Linked DNA regions of Tamandua tetradactyla. The protein of the gene in region 1 binds, or shares a complex with, the protein of each later gene. Links are inferred from orthologs where the notes say so. Each region holds a gene or a part of one and is shown in the gene's direction. Other genes may lie near its edges.

What was found. The genes of interacting proteins can lie anywhere in the genome.
Region 2: the proteins of PEX14 (region 1) and PEX19 are in contact, whole or in part, in an NMR structure (PDB 2W85), measured with the Homo sapiens proteins. The link is inferred for Tamandua tetradactyla from reciprocal best matches to the Homo sapiens genes PEX14 and PEX19. Residues at the interface, in NP_004556.1 of Homo sapiens: Leu28, Thr31, Ala32, Lys34, Phe35, Asn38, Ser39, Arg40, Val41, Ser44, Thr48, Phe52, Lys56, Leu58; in NP_002848.1 of Homo sapiens: Gln67, Phe70, Phe71, Leu74, Phe75, Ser77.

Annotation. Positions count from the first base shown.
Region 1 is NC_135328.1:214,913,655-214,920,815, reverse strand, and holds the start of PEX14 (peroxisomal membrane protein PEX14), read left to right. Parts: upstream 1-4,155; 5' UTR 4,156-4,180; coding exon 4,181-4,216; intron 4,217-4,288; exon of another isoform or gene 4,289-4,555; coding exon of another isoform or gene 4,556-4,561; intron 4,562-7,161. Other genes in the region: DFFA (DNA fragmentation factor subunit alpha), read right to left, coding at 444-605, 2,411-2,546. UniProt on the Homo sapiens protein: Component of the PEX13-PEX14 docking complex, a translocon channel that specifically mediates the import of peroxisomal cargo proteins bound to PEX5 receptor.
Region 2 is NC_135330.1:13,332,793-13,340,482, reverse strand, and holds the start of PEX19 (peroxisomal biogenesis factor 19), read left to right. Parts: upstream 1-4,690; 5' UTR 4,691-4,752; coding exon 4,753-4,822; intron 4,823-5,593; exon of another isoform or gene 5,594-5,618; coding exon of another isoform or gene 5,619-5,652; intron 5,653-6,275; coding exon 6,276-6,385; intron 6,386-6,818; coding exon 6,819-6,984; intron 6,985-7,418; coding exon 7,419-7,504; intron 7,505-7,690. UniProt on the Homo sapiens protein: Necessary for early peroxisomal biogenesis. Acts both as a cytosolic chaperone and as an import receptor for peroxisomal membrane proteins (PMPs).

The DNA of each region.
Region 1 (7,161 bases):
GTATTGAAGTTGAGGAATATTGAAGTTGTATGTATATTGTGTTATATCAGTCTTACAACAACCCGAGGAGATTGGTCCTATATTTATTGTCTCAATGAGGCACTGAGAGGTCATGCAATTTGCCCAACGTCACATGGCTAATAAACAGCAGAGCCAGGATTCAGATTCGGGCAGCCCAACTTTGGCCCACAAGACTCATCTCTCTGCCATGGTGCTTTTTAGTTGCTGTGTGTCTGTGAGTTATTTGAAAACAGGTTCATGTCTCGTTCATCTTCATCCCCAGGATCTAACACTGCGTCCGGCACATAGAAGGCTGTCAGTTAACGTTGCTTAATAAATGCTTAAAAGCCAGACAAACAGCAATCAGTTGACTGTGTAGTAAAATTAATCATGATGAATGTGGGACTGCATAGGTCATTTTACATATAGCCAGTGTTTCTTACCTGAATTATTGTATGCCCACTTCTCATCACCAGCCAGTGCCACAAACTTAGTATTGGAAGGTAGACACAGGAAGTAATCATCATCATCCACTATGGTGCCATCCTCTGCCAGGACCAGGGTAACTGGTGCCAGGGACGTATCAATAGCCAGAATGTCACAGGCTGAGAGGGATAAAATATTTGGCAACTGATGAATTCTATCTTTGACAGAACTCAAGATCCAAAGAACAAATTCACATTCATATGGAAATTACATCTGTCCTTGCCTTATCAACATGTATGCCTCCAGGATCTAGCAGAATTCCTGGCATGTAATAGTAGTAATAACTACAATAACAACTGCAACTATTAGCACCAATCACTATAGCTTTACCGTGAAACTGGCACTGTTCTAATTGCTTTTCATATATAGTATTTAATCCTCACAACAACCCTACAAGGTAGGTACTATTAGTATCATTCGCATTTTACATTTGACAAAACCAAGGACAAGTGAGGTACCTGGTCAAGGTAACACAGTAAGTGGCAGAGCTGGGATTTAAACCCACTATGGTTCTTAAAAATGTGTTTCCTAAAGCTACTCTACTACACCACACACAGGAGACACTCAAGCCTTTACTTCAATGAATGACAAACTATACCAAAGTCTGGCTTGATTCTTTGTGAAGAAGAAATCTTTCATTCATTTATTCAGTGGTCATCTTAAATTCTCCTGTATCAAAAGTCAAAAAAAGAAAAGGAAGAAAAATGCTTTTTGTTCTTTATAGCATCTTTCTTTTGAGGCCTTTCTACCCTCCAGGAAAGGATAAGAGAAGGAGAGGTTGCATTAGTAGCTTTTCATCTTTATTATCCCTGGGCAAGAGCAGTGTCGTAGCATGCCATTTAGTGACAGCAAAGCTAACTATGTGAATGGGACTGGAATAAGCAGAAGTAGTCCAGACACTACAAATATTGTTAGTACATGTTGTCTATCATCCAAGCAGAAAAGCAAGACTTGTACAGGCCAAGCCCTCCAGAACACAAGCACCTGCCCAAGCCTCTGGGCCAGCCAGGTACATCCAGCTGATGCAATGAAGTGGCAATAAGACTTAAGTAACCTAATACCCAGAAGAAACGTAAGGCAAAAATCCATGTCACCAAAGCATTTATACTACTTGGCTGCTTCTGGAAGTCTGAGAGACTTCTATATGGTAATCTTTTGGGGTTTAAGTGACCCTGAGAGGGAGCACAGCTTGCCCGCACTCTTAACTACAGGCCTGGGGCTGGCTGGCACATTTAACTCGTTTGGATAAACAATTTGTTGCTACGTGCTAATAACACGTCAATCATTTGAATGTAGCATCTCATTTGAGAGTTCCAACAATTCTGTGAGTCAAGGATGGAAATATTATATCCTGTTTTCAGATGAGAAAAATCAGGCGCAGAAGTGTTAAGTGCAAGGTCAAGCGGCTAGGAAGAGTATGAGGTCAGGGCTCACGACTCAGAACTTCTGTGAGCTCAGGCATCCATAACACCGTCCCTTTTTCCGGACCGCCAGATCAGTTGGAAGCAGCTCTGTATCTGCGCCCAGGTACCTGCCACAGCTGATGGTGGACCTTCATCTCCGGCTCGGCTAGAGGTCCTAGGACCACTTCAGTGAGCCGGAGTGGCACGAATACCCTGGGCTAGATTTAATATGAAAAATTTTAGGCAAGACATCGAAGCCGAGTTGGTCTTAATAACATCTTGCTACGGGCCTACTTTTCCATCATTATGACTCTCACACAGGAGGGATTCGGTTACAGGGTCTGTAAACTACTATCAATGCTTTGAAATCTACAAAGCATTATATCCACGTAAGTCATTTCTGTGCGGCTCCCCACGGCTCCATCAGAACTCCACGTCCTGGGGATCATCTCCCCGTCCCCCGCCCAACTTCCTCACCCGTTCCCGTGTCCCCCAGACCCCCGACCCAGTTCCGTGCCAACCCTTGTTCCTCAGCTCCTCGAGGCAGGAGGCCGCCACGCCGTACTGTTCGCGGCTGTGGTTACTACGCAGCAGACAGGGCTTCAGAGCCCGGGCTTCGCCGTGCTCGGAGGCCCCAGAGACCCCAGTCACCTCCATCCTCTTCTAGGCGGGACTTGTCTGACTCCTGGAAGTGGGGTAAGCTCGGCGAGGCGGGACCCCCTCGCCCGCGGCATGCCGGGAGATGTGGTTCTTTCTGCCGCAAACCACGCGTGGGACCAAGGCACGCCGGGAGATGTAGTCCCCTGTCGTCCCTAATCATGTGCCGACCTCGGGGCACGTCGGGAGTTGCAGTCTCTCAATCTAAAAAAATCTCAGTTTCCTTAACGTCGTGCCATTCACCTAGGCAGTATTTTGTTTCAGCCTTATATTTAGGAGTTACAATTGCACGTTAAACAGATGAGGCCAATAGGAATTTATTTCGCATAGTGAAATACACGCATGTATACTCCTCGAATATTTAGAGCACTTCTATTTGTATATATAGTGCGTAATATTAATATGCAAACAAGACAAAGTTGATTGGTTTTACCTTTTCAATCTGAAAAGATCTGTAGGATCCAACCTTCCAACTTCCTTGATTTGAAGGAAGTCAATGTTAAATATTAATAGGTGTAGTTTTCAGTCACACGTAACGAAGTAGCATAAAATACTTGCACATTTCCATCCATTTGGTTCCCCGCTTCAGCTTGTGCAAGTTGGGTTGGGCCCTCAGCACAAGATGGTTAAATAAATAGATTTAAACATTATAGCAACAAAGCAATCAGAGGAAAGGGGAAATGTGAACCAAAGTTCTGTTTGAGATTCTAAGAGATGTTGTTTGACAATCCTTGTTCTAATACTACTACTTACGGAAAAACTAACATTCAAGATTTGAAGAATTAAAGAAAAATTTTACTAAAAAGCGTCTCCGCTTTAAAAAGGAGTGTTTTATGTAAAAAGAACTAATTGTTGGCCCATATTCATTCAGGGTCAGTCTCTTGCATATTTTGCTTATAAAAATTTGGCTGAGAAATCAGTTATGTCATAAGAAAAGTGTGTGTATTTAAAACGGTCTTTGGTAGGAGGGCTTGTTAATGAGTATTCCTCAGTTGATCAAAACACAATACAATATGAGTTGGCTGATGGTTCTAATGTATGCATCCCTTTTCATATAATCACATATTTAGTTTAAAACTTAACTCAAATACTCTTCTCTTGTTCCCCCAAAAGACCCCTCACATAGTTATGGGTGTCCTGTCCTCACAATGATCTATTTAATCATGGGTGGATGGATGGTGGGTTGGGGTGTTTTGCCTGGACTTTTGGAAGCAGGGATTGGCTCTTTATTTCTAGCGTCTAACAAAGTGCCTAGCAAATAGTAGGCGCTCAATAAATGGTACTGGACTGAATGGCCAAAAATTAATTTGCAATTCATTTACTATATACTTAGCAAGTCAATAAATATGCCCAAGGTACTCTGGGGATGGGTAGATACTTAATTCAACAAGAATGACAGACACATAACAATTCAAAGAGGATAGACTTCGGAAATTCTCTAAAGTAGAGACTTATCGGAGATTGTGCTAGCTGACTCGGGCACTCCGGTCCCCCTCCTCCTCCCTCCGTTTCGGGCCCTCTACCCCAATCGACCGGTTCAATTCCTGCTACTTTAGTCTGGACGGGAGAGCGAGAGCAAGGGCGCTTGGGAGATGCCTCGCTCAGCGGCGATAGATTAGTCAAGCCTCAGAAAGATGGCGTCCTCGGAGCAGGCAGAGCAGCCGAGCCAGGTAAGGGGAGCAGGATTGCCCAGTCGTGGCCGCGGGGACCGCGGCTGGAGGGGGCGCTCGGCGCTCGTCCAGGAGCTAGGTGGGGACCCCGAGTTTCCGAAGCCGCGGTCCTCGATCTCTGTTCTTCCATGGGCCCCGCCCCTCTCCGGGTCCCCGCCCGACCCCCTCCCTCAGTGACCCCTCTTTGACCACATTTCGGAGCCCGGGTTCTAGGGCTCGGCTGCATCCGTGGGTCACCATTTGCCACTGCCAGCTCCTCCGATCCCACTTGAGTTTGGCGGGGACAGTGGTTGGACCCTTAGGAAACCCCCAGCCCAAGGCTCCGAGGGCATTTGCTTGATGGAGGTGAGAAGCTTCTTCGTTCCTGGCTGCCTCCTTGGGGGATGGGCCGGCCCCCTCCGGGGTCCAACTCCCCCACAACCTCAGTGTCCTGGGGTTGTCCAGCTGCCAGCTTCCTCGTCTTTAGTCACCTTTGCGCTCTCGCCCCCAAATTGGAGGGTCGGGATTATACTCACACTCTCGGCGGTGGGGTGGGGGGTGGGGGCGAAAAGGACGCACAGTAACAACAGACGCCGCCCAGCCTTTGGCAGAGAATCGGTCTTTGCTTTCCTGGGTTTGGCTTTCTCGGCCAAAGGTTCCACTCTAGCCTTTCACCCACAAATTTCAGCCAAATCTCACGCCAGTAGAGGGATCATGAGGACCAGTGTTCACGCCCCTAAGTCTGCTGTCAGGGAGAGGTGGTTGATAAAGGTCTCTGAAGAGACTTTTAGCCCGAAGGTGGGGTAGGGTGGGGTGAGGTAAGTTTACGAGTGTGTGCTATCAAGTTGAGCACAGTTTATGTTTATGAGCTCAGGCTATTAACCCCCATTTTATAGAAATGGATACTAAGGTTCTGTAACATGCCGAAAATCTGTTATGCTCTTGATTGAGCCAGGATTTAAACCTAGGTAAATGTGGCTCCGCTAGTCAGCCATATATGCTTCCATCTAGTTAGAATTAGATAGAGGAAGGAAAAACTGTTTTTTAACCTGACACCTCATCATTTATCTCTCTTCTCTAGTCTCTTGAAACACCTTCAGGTGGTTTCGATAATTTACTGATATATCTTTTCCTTCCTAGGTAGAAGACCAGCATTTAGTGTTTCATATTTTCTTATTCACTGTGAGTCTGTACAGGAACTGCACTTAAAGGAGTTGTTGTGTGCCCAGACCAGCCTCTGCTAACAGTGTGTATTATTCAGGAAGATGATGTCTGGGATGTAAAGCATAAAAAATAGGGCTGACTCTGGCCTTGTTAACTGTCAGAGTTCTGGAGTTTGGGAAGTGTCTATAGAGGAGGAGCCTTCCTTTCTTGCCTTATTCCACTCAGCTGAATTATTGAGGCTCCTCAAGATCTGGACTTCTTTGAACTGTTATGTGTTAGGAACATCCACAAATGGGGATTCGAGGTGACTTAGTCACTGATTCTTCTAGGACATACCATTTACCAGTGCTATGAAAGTCACTAAATATCTTGCCACTTGGAGCCATTGCAGTTCCCAGGGCTTTCTTTGGTTTTGGAACTTGACCTCTCTGTCCATGTGAAAAAGGATCTAAATACCTTTAAGGGGGCTTGGCCAGCACTTGTTTGGTTTTCAGCTCTGGTTCCCTTTACGGTCCTTTCTAAAGCTGGTGGAGATGGGATTACCTCAGAATATGTAGGCAGCCTGTGGAAAAACCTGAACTCTCCAGGCTGAATTCTATCGATGTCTAACAATAAGGTTCAAATGCGCACGTTTAAGTGAATCAACTCTCTTTAGTTGCTTGTCATTTCGTTTTAAGTCCTAATCTATCTGGTGTACCGTTTTTCTGCTAGAGTATGATTGAAAGAACTATTTGGTAATTCAGCAACCAAACCTGGTTTGTATATACACAAGGTTAGGCCTATAGGACTGGGGGAGTGAGTATTCTTTCTCTTATAGAAAATTTGATAGTTAGCCTTGTGGCATCAGTCTCTGGTTTCAAAAGATTAAGGGTGAACATCTTCAGAGAAGAGCAGAGAATATGCTTGAATCTGCAATCAATGTGATCGAATCTACTGAACATATAGATTTCAAATCTTTTTCGATTCACTGGATATAGTAAGTTTTGGATTGAGAAAACAGACGCGGATAAGGAGGAGAGCACAAGCACTGGCCTTGCATTCAAACAGACTTTGGTTTGAACTCTAACACTCACTAGCTGTGGAACTTGTAATTACTTTCTGAGCATCGATTTTCTCCTCTATAAAATGGGAGTAATAACAGTTACTGTAGAGGGTTGCTATGGGGGTTGACAAACCACAGATATGAAGAGTACCTGGGACATAATAAGTGCTCAGTAAATGTCAGTTTTCTTCCTCAGGTTTCTACATATAGGCTCTTTTTTAGGTGTATGGTCCGGGAACCGAATACATGTTGCTTTGAAATTCTTTTGACCTCTTGAAATAGTAATAGTTCAAACAAGATATTTCCCCCTACAGAAACTTACAGGAAAGTTGAAAGAAGAGTGGAGAAAACTCCTATAAAACTTTCATGAAACCTTCATCATGAAACACTGTTTGTTCACATTTTGCCAGGTTTGCTTGATATCAATCTCTTTAATAGCTTTTTCTTTTGAAGTATTTGATAACTGAGTACCAGACATCATATTATTTTATCCCAGATTACTTTACCTTATATCTTATTTTCTTACTTACCCCCACATACCATTATTGCACAGGAAATTTAGTAGATTCACTAGTATCAAGTTTACCATTTACATTCATTCATTTTCTCAGTTAAAATCATCATGATCTCATCAAAAAACAGGATTGTGTTGCTTTGTCTCTTTAGTCTCCTTTACTCTAGAATGGGGTCCTAGCCTTTTTTTTAAACTTTTTTGTTGTATAGTATAACATATATACTAAGCAAAGAAATGAAAAAAGCA
Region 2 (7,690 bases), on another chromosome or scaffold:
ATTTATCCCTCTCTTCCCTACCACCTTTGTGTCATTTGTCTAGAAAGAAAAGGAATGTAGTAAGATACCATTTTTAACTCCGTCCTACCAAACTCTTAGTCATCCTCTATTTTCCTTGGGCAGTGAAACTCTCAAATTTCTGAGTACCCAGAAATTTAAGGACTGGGAGGGTACCATTTGGCTTTCCAGAAATGCATACCACTTTAGGTTGATTTGTGTCCTGCAACCATAGTTCTCTTATTTTGTTTCTCATGGTAAATAAACTAAATTTCTACAAGAGCTTCTTGGCTTGCTGTTTGTTTCTTGGACACTTTCTTTTTTTTTTTAATAATTTTATTTTATTTTTTAAATATCAAAAAAAGCCCACCAAATAAATGCAGACATTCCTATTTTGATCATTCTGTTCTACGTATATAATCAGTAATTCATAATATCATCACATAGTTGCATATTCATCATCATGACCATTTCTTAAAAAAAAATAAAACGAAAACAGAAAAAAAAAATTATACATACCGTATCCCTTACCCTCCCTTTCATTGATCACTAGCATTTTAAACTAAATTTATTTTAACATTTGTTCCCCCTACTATTTATTTTTATTCCATATGTTCTACTCGTCTGTTGACAAGGTAGATAAAAGGAGCATCAGACACAAGGTTTTCAGAATCACACAGTCACCTTGTGAAAGCTATATCGTTATACAATCATCTTCAAGAAACATGGCTACTGGAACACAGCTCTACATTTTCAGGCAGTTCCCTCCAGCCTCTCTACTACATCTTGAATAACAAGGTGATATCTACTTAATGCGTAAGAATAACCTCCAGGATAACCTCTCAACTCTGGAATCTCTCAGCTATTGACACTTTGTCTCTTTTCACTCTTCCCCCATTTGGTCGAGAAGGTTTTCTCAATCCCTTGATGCTGGGTCTTAGCTCATTCTAGGGTTTTTCTCAATCCCTTGATGCTGAGTCTCAGGTCATTCTAGGATTTCTGTCCCACGTTGCCAGGAAGGTCCACACCCCTGGGAGTCATGTCCCACATAGACAGGGGCAGGGTGGTGAATTTGTTTGTTGTGTTGGCTGGAGAGAGAGGCCACATCAGAGCAACAGAAGAGGTTATCGTGGGGGTGACTCTTAGGCCTAATTTTAAGTAGGCTTGACCTATCCTTTGTGAGGTTAAGTTTCATATGAACAAGCCCCAAGACTAGGGACTCAGCCTATAGCTTTGGCTGTCCGCACTGCTTGTGAGAACAAAAATTCAACTTGGGGAATATTTTTTTCTCAATGATTATTTTTAATTTCAACTTAAATAATTTTAATTTCAAAAGTAATAAACACTAAAAAAAGTACATATTTTTCACTTGATAAATGTTAGACATAGATCTAAATTGCTGTGAGAATGGTAGAAAGCAAGTATTCCCCTAGTCCATTTTTTACTGCATTCTTCTATCTATTGCTAGTTACAGCCAGTATTTATTAAACACTTTCCATTGCCTGTCACTGTTCCTGATTACACTGGTATTTTGCTTGTCATGTGAAAGGACTTAATTGGGTGAAGTGCCTTTGATTAAAATATGTCCTTTTTAAATTTTTATGTCTTTAATAAACAATACATTCACAGAATTCAAAAATCAGTGAGTGTGAAAAGCTAAACTGTTAAAAGTCTTCTTCCCGCCTTTTCCCTCAATATCCAGTTGTTATCACTTTCCCCCAAAAGGTAACCATTATTATGCCCTTAAATCCTTCCAGAGATTCTTTTTAATGTATAAACAGGCATATATGAATATATTCTTCCCTATCACCCTTTAATACACAAATGGAAGCATATTATTTAACAATTCTGCATCTGGTTTTCTCACTTAGCATATTTTAGACTTGTCCATATCAGTGTATTAGTTTCTTCACTCTATTTTTACTTCTCTGCATAGTCTTCCATTGTATGATATGCCATAATTTATGTAAGTTTTATTTATCAAAGACATTAATAAAGTCCTTTTTGATGGACTTTTAACTTATTTCCAATGTTGCTATTATGAACAAGGCTGCAATGAATAATTTGATCATGCACTGTATAGGTGGGACAAGTATGTTTAATCTCCTAGAACTGAAATTTATATTTTTTACCTTTATTTTGAGTTTCTTTCTTTCTTTTCTTTTTTTTGACATGGGTAGGCACCGGTAAATGAATCCGGGTCGTTGGCATGGCAGGGAAGAATTCTGCCACCAAGCCACCATCACACTGCTCTTGAGTTGCTTTCTTAAGCAGTGTCCCCAAAGCCCGCCTTCTCAAAATTTTGCATACTACTTTGATAACACTTTCTCAAGCTACATTCTTTCTGTAAACATAGGTAAGCTGGTGATAATAACTTTTTTGTGAGTTTAAAAATTAAATTACAGGGCGGTGCGATGGTGGCTTAGCAGGCAGAATTCTCACCTGCCATGCCAGAGACCCGGGTTCGATTCCCAGTTCCTGCCCGTGCAAAACAAAACAAAACAAAAACAACAAATTAATGTGAATATAAACAGTTGCGTGAACTGAGATATGAAAAAAGTTGGCGGTCCTTGCCTCTTCAAGCTTATCTAATTTAGGACATACATATGAAATTGTGAAATTAGACAAAATTTTGAGAAGCACTGAAGAATCATTGCTAAGTCCTTAAGAGAGTGATAAAGAAAGAAAATGCTATAAGTACTGTTTTGAAATAATGTTCACTGTACAATAGAAAGGGAACAGCGAGGTGAGTAAATACCGAGATAATAGAAAAAATTTAAAAAGCAGAAACAAGTTTAAAAATACAAAAAGGAAAATTCAGGCTTCTGTTTGACTCCCTCTCTCTTAATTCTCTCAATTACCATCTAGTATTTTCCTTATTAACATGCTTATATTTCCCCATTAATGTAAGGCCAATAGAAATACTAACCTGTAAATGGACAAATTTTATACATGTAAAATGTTATCAATAATAATTATGTAAGCAATTCAGACCTTAATGAGAAAGGTAACCTAGAATCAATTACGTGACAGGTGTTGGGGAGAAAAAGGGTTGCATAGGAAAAGATTTGACTATAGAAGTTTAGAATTGAAAAGGATTTTAAGAGTCCCAACTCTTAATGTTACATGTTTGTAATCTGAAGTCTACAGTGGTGGAGAGTTTTGAACAAAGACACAAGTTGATTTAGTGACAAAGCTGGGAACTAGGATTTGGGTCTTCTGACTCCCAACTCCTTCCGGTTTTCTCCTAAATTACACCACTTGTGCTTGAAAAAAAACATAGTAGATTTTGCACAGGTATAATTTTAGAAGCCTGTGTTAGATCTGTGAAGGAAAGAATGAGTACCTAACGTGGTGCTTGATACACAGAACCCAGATGTTTGTTTAGGAAGCTGAGGACCAAAAGGATGAAGTGACTTACACATTTTTTCCCACCTAGATGTGATTTCTCCCTTCTTTTACTTTTTTTATCCTTAACTCTTTTCAAATACTTCAAGTTTGTGTCATAGTAAGTGTGTATGTCTGTCTAGTCCTACTTTTAGCCCAATTCCCAAGCAGCTACATTAGGGCAGGGGCTGGTCCTGATTTATCTCTACATCCTCCATTGTACCCAGCACAAGATCTTAAACAATAGCAGATATCTCTAAGTACTACAATAGATATGTTGCATTCTGGCATATCTGAATGGGAGACATATTCCAGAGGAGGGAAGGAATACCCAGAGTTCTCCCTATCTGAGCCTATCCCACCTCACTCTCAAAATTAGATTGGGAGTTGGATTCTGTATGAGGAAAAAATAGGAACGTCCAAAGACTAGGTCAGGTCTATTGCTAACTACATTGATTGCTCTCTTGTTCAATTGGAAGGCCCCACAGTCGTTTTTTCTGCCTGAGTTGATTCAGCTAACAGTGAGTTATTAAATTCCTAGTCCTGTGTCCTTTAGTCAGATCAATCCTTTTGGAGAATAGGAAATGAGATAGCTATCCATTAAATTCGGCAGAGAAACATGCCTGATAAGCGTCTGGGGAGCAAAGAGTCGCCAATTAGTGCCTACTAAGTACCGGGCTCTAGTCTACAAGCTGGGGATACAGCAGTGGAGACAACAGGCAAAATTCCTTGCCTTCTAGATGCTTAAATTCTACCGGGGCAGGGTGGGGGAGGGAGATGGCAACAAACAAGGTAAATAATAAAATGCATAGCATATCAGATAGTATTAAGGCAAAAAAAAAAGAGTAAGTAGGAAGTATATATGCTTGTGTGTATGTGGGGGGGCGGGGAGTGCAGTTTTATTTATGAGGCCAAAGAAAGCGTCTCAGCGAAGATGACATTTGAGTAAAATACCAAAGGAAGTGCGAGAAAAATAATGGATTTCTACGGACCATAAATGTCTTCTTGGTTATATATGCGTAGCATCTGTTTATTTGTAAGCAGCTTGTAATAATTTGGTCCCACCACAGCTTGAGTAGAAATAATGAAACGGCTTCTTCTCTGGGTAATATGGGAAGCTGAAAGAAAGGAGGCCAGGCGCGGAAGAAACCAGGTAGAAGATAATTAATTCCCCTCATATTAGTTGAACCGGTTCTGACAGAAAAAAAAAAAAAAAAGCAAATTAAAGTTCCTGTCCCTTTAAAAATGGCGGCGCCTACTCGCTAACAATACCATTGGTTGTACAAAGCAGGAGGGGGCGGGGCGAGAGGCCGGGCACGTGGCGGCGCTGAGGAGTCCCGCCTCCTACGGCGAGTCGTAGGTAATAAGATGGCGGCCGCTGAAGACAACTGTGAGGTTACGGCTGAAGCGGACCAAGAATTAGAAGAGCTTTTGGAAAGTAAGAGTCAATAACTGGAAAGGCCCAAAGGAGGCGGGTGTGAGGACCCATTCAGGGGATTAAGTGAACCTGATATATGTGGGGCAGAGTGGGAGAGGCTCTCCAAAGGTTGGACGGGGGCGGGCGAACCAGAGTGAAATCTCTGGATCACCCTCTCCCTACTCAGCGGCGGGAGCTGCGGAGTTCACCTTGGGTCCCTGAGCGGCCCAGACCGTTGATCTCTCTGGGAAGATATCCCAGAGATGGGAAAACTGTAACCCATAGGACGATATCTCTCCAAGCTCTCCTTGCTTTAGATCAATACATTCTTTAAGTTTGACTTCCTTTCCGCCAGCAGCAGCATTTTGTCCTCCGTGGACAGCGAAGCAGATACTTATAGATTGTTCACATTAAATCTTCAAAAGCCCTAGATTGTCTTTCAGTGCCCCTGGCCTGTCCACACAAAAGACACTTCGTTCCTCCTCCCGTTATTTTCACCCTTCTCTCACCCCTTTCCAGTTCTTTGATCCTGTCATTAACTCTAGTGGATTTCTGCCCCATTTGTTTAAGAAACTGAGAGACGACCTCAGGGGAAGCCAATTCACTCTCATAAAAGACGATGTTCTTTTCTTCTTTTCCCTATTCTTCACAACTCTGTTGGTTTCTTGCCCAGAGTGGGGTCAGTGCCCTCCCCCCAGGCCTGGCAAGCAGAGTGGTGGTGACATCACACGCTTTACAGGGCGGAGGTGAATTTTGCGTCTCTAGCTCAGTCATAGTGATTGTGGGAGCGGGGTGGGGGGGGAGAGGGGTCAGAAAGATGAACAGAAACAGTGGAGGAGTGTCAATTGAAGGTGAATTGGCACGTGATTATTTGCAGAGATGAGACCAGAGGGATAATTAAATTGGACAACAAGAGAAGATTTAAAGCCCTCCCAGGGAATGCATAATGTAGTCCCGCAGTTTGCAATAGTACCAGGTCTGATAGGAAGCTAATTAAGCCTCCCATGAATTAAACTAAACATCATGGTTTCTGTTTTCTTGCCTAAGATTATTCCCTTTACGTCTCCAAAGTGAGTTCAGGGAGCTATGGATATCTATGTTCCCTACTCCTGTTGGATATTTGTATAGAATTTCTAGGGAATCATTAATAGAATGTGTTGAGGAAGGCACAGTAGAGATGGAGGTGTACTTTGCTATTTGCAGCACTTCCTTTAACCTTCTTCCAGCTCTGAGACATATTTGCCTATTCTACCATAAATGATTTCTTTCCCTTTGACTGTAGTAAATTAGGTAATGGGGAGGGAAGTGGGAAGCTTACTGTGGTGTAGGTGGGAAGGGAAGACTTAAAAAAGAAAAAAAAATTAGGAAAGTTGGCAGTTTGTAAGATCATTCTCTTAATGCTTTGTCCCAAAAGCACCCAGCCTTGCATCCTTACCTGTCCTCAACACACTCCCCATGTCTCTTGTCTCTGAAGGTGCTCTTGATGATTTCGATAAGGCCAAACCCTCCCCAGCACCCCCTCCTACCACCATGGCCCCTGATGCTTCGGGGCCCCAGAAGAGATCGCCAGGAGACACTGCCAAAGTATATATTCCACCCACTTAAGGGAAGGGGAGGGAATGTTCTTGCAGCTCTGAGCAGAGGTGGGGCAGGGCAGGCCCCTGTGGGCCAGAGGGGAGTGGGGCATGGTGCCTTGGCCTCACATTGCTGAGTGCTTTTGCAAATGTCTGTCCTCGTGAAACAAGGACTTGAGATTGAGTGGAGGAATCTAAAGGAAGTTCCTTGAGAAAAGAGAAGGTTTAAATAGCTGGCTTGGGGTGCCACCCTATATTCTTCCCTCAGTGGTTGGATGCCTTTCTTTCTGTCCTCATCAGGAGAGGCAGTTAGAATCTCCAATGGAGGTGAGTAGGAGGGAAGCACTGCATTTCCTTAGAGCCATTCTCTGTGGCTTCTGCTAGGGCCCAGGTACAGTGAAATGCCAAGTAGAAGATGCATTTTGACCACCCCTCCCTTGCAGGATGCCCTCTTTGCCTCCCAAGAGAAGTTTTTCCAGGAACTGTTTGACAGTGAGCTGGCTTCCCAAGCCACTGCAGAGTTTGAGAAGGCAATGAAGGAGTTGGCTGAGGAAGAGCCCCACCTGGTGGAACAGTTCCAAAAGCTCTCAGAAGCTGCTGGGAAAGTGGGTGAGAAGGGGTCTCCAAACAGCAGGAAATACATAAGCAAGCCATTTAAGTCATATCTGCTTGAGAACACCAGAATTCTTAGTAAGGTTGACAGTAGTCATGATGCCACTGCCTTGGGGTCAGGTGAGGAGATGGAGGGAGGAGTGGGAACCCTCCTTAGTGAAAGGGATGAGATAGGTTGGAAAGTAATAGAAATGATTATTCAAAACTGATCATTTTTAAGATCACAATGTTATTCTGGGTGTCATCATGCAGAATAAACAGATACACAGTCTGTGCAGATTCATGACAATGACTAAGATACCATAGAGTAGTAGATTTAGTGTGGTAGTGATTCAGTAGTATTTGTTCCAGATCCGAGCTTGTAACCAGGTCAGTCTAACCAAGTAGACAGTTACAATCCTAAATGACCCTGGTTTTTTTATTGCTCCCAGGCAGTGACGTGACCTCCCAACAAGAATTCACTTCTTGTCTAAAGGAGACACTAAGTGGACTAGCCAAAAATGCTACTGACCTTCAGGTAAGGGGATAGGGGCGGGAAACTACAAGACACCATCACCAACAGAATCTCAAAAGACAAAAGCTCTTGGGCATCATTCCAAGTCCTTCGCTCCCTTACTGTTTTGCTACAGGCAAGTGTAAAATAGTTCTTATCTGGGCTTCAACTTTCCCAAATGAGGGAGTGGTGACATATACCAAGAAAGCA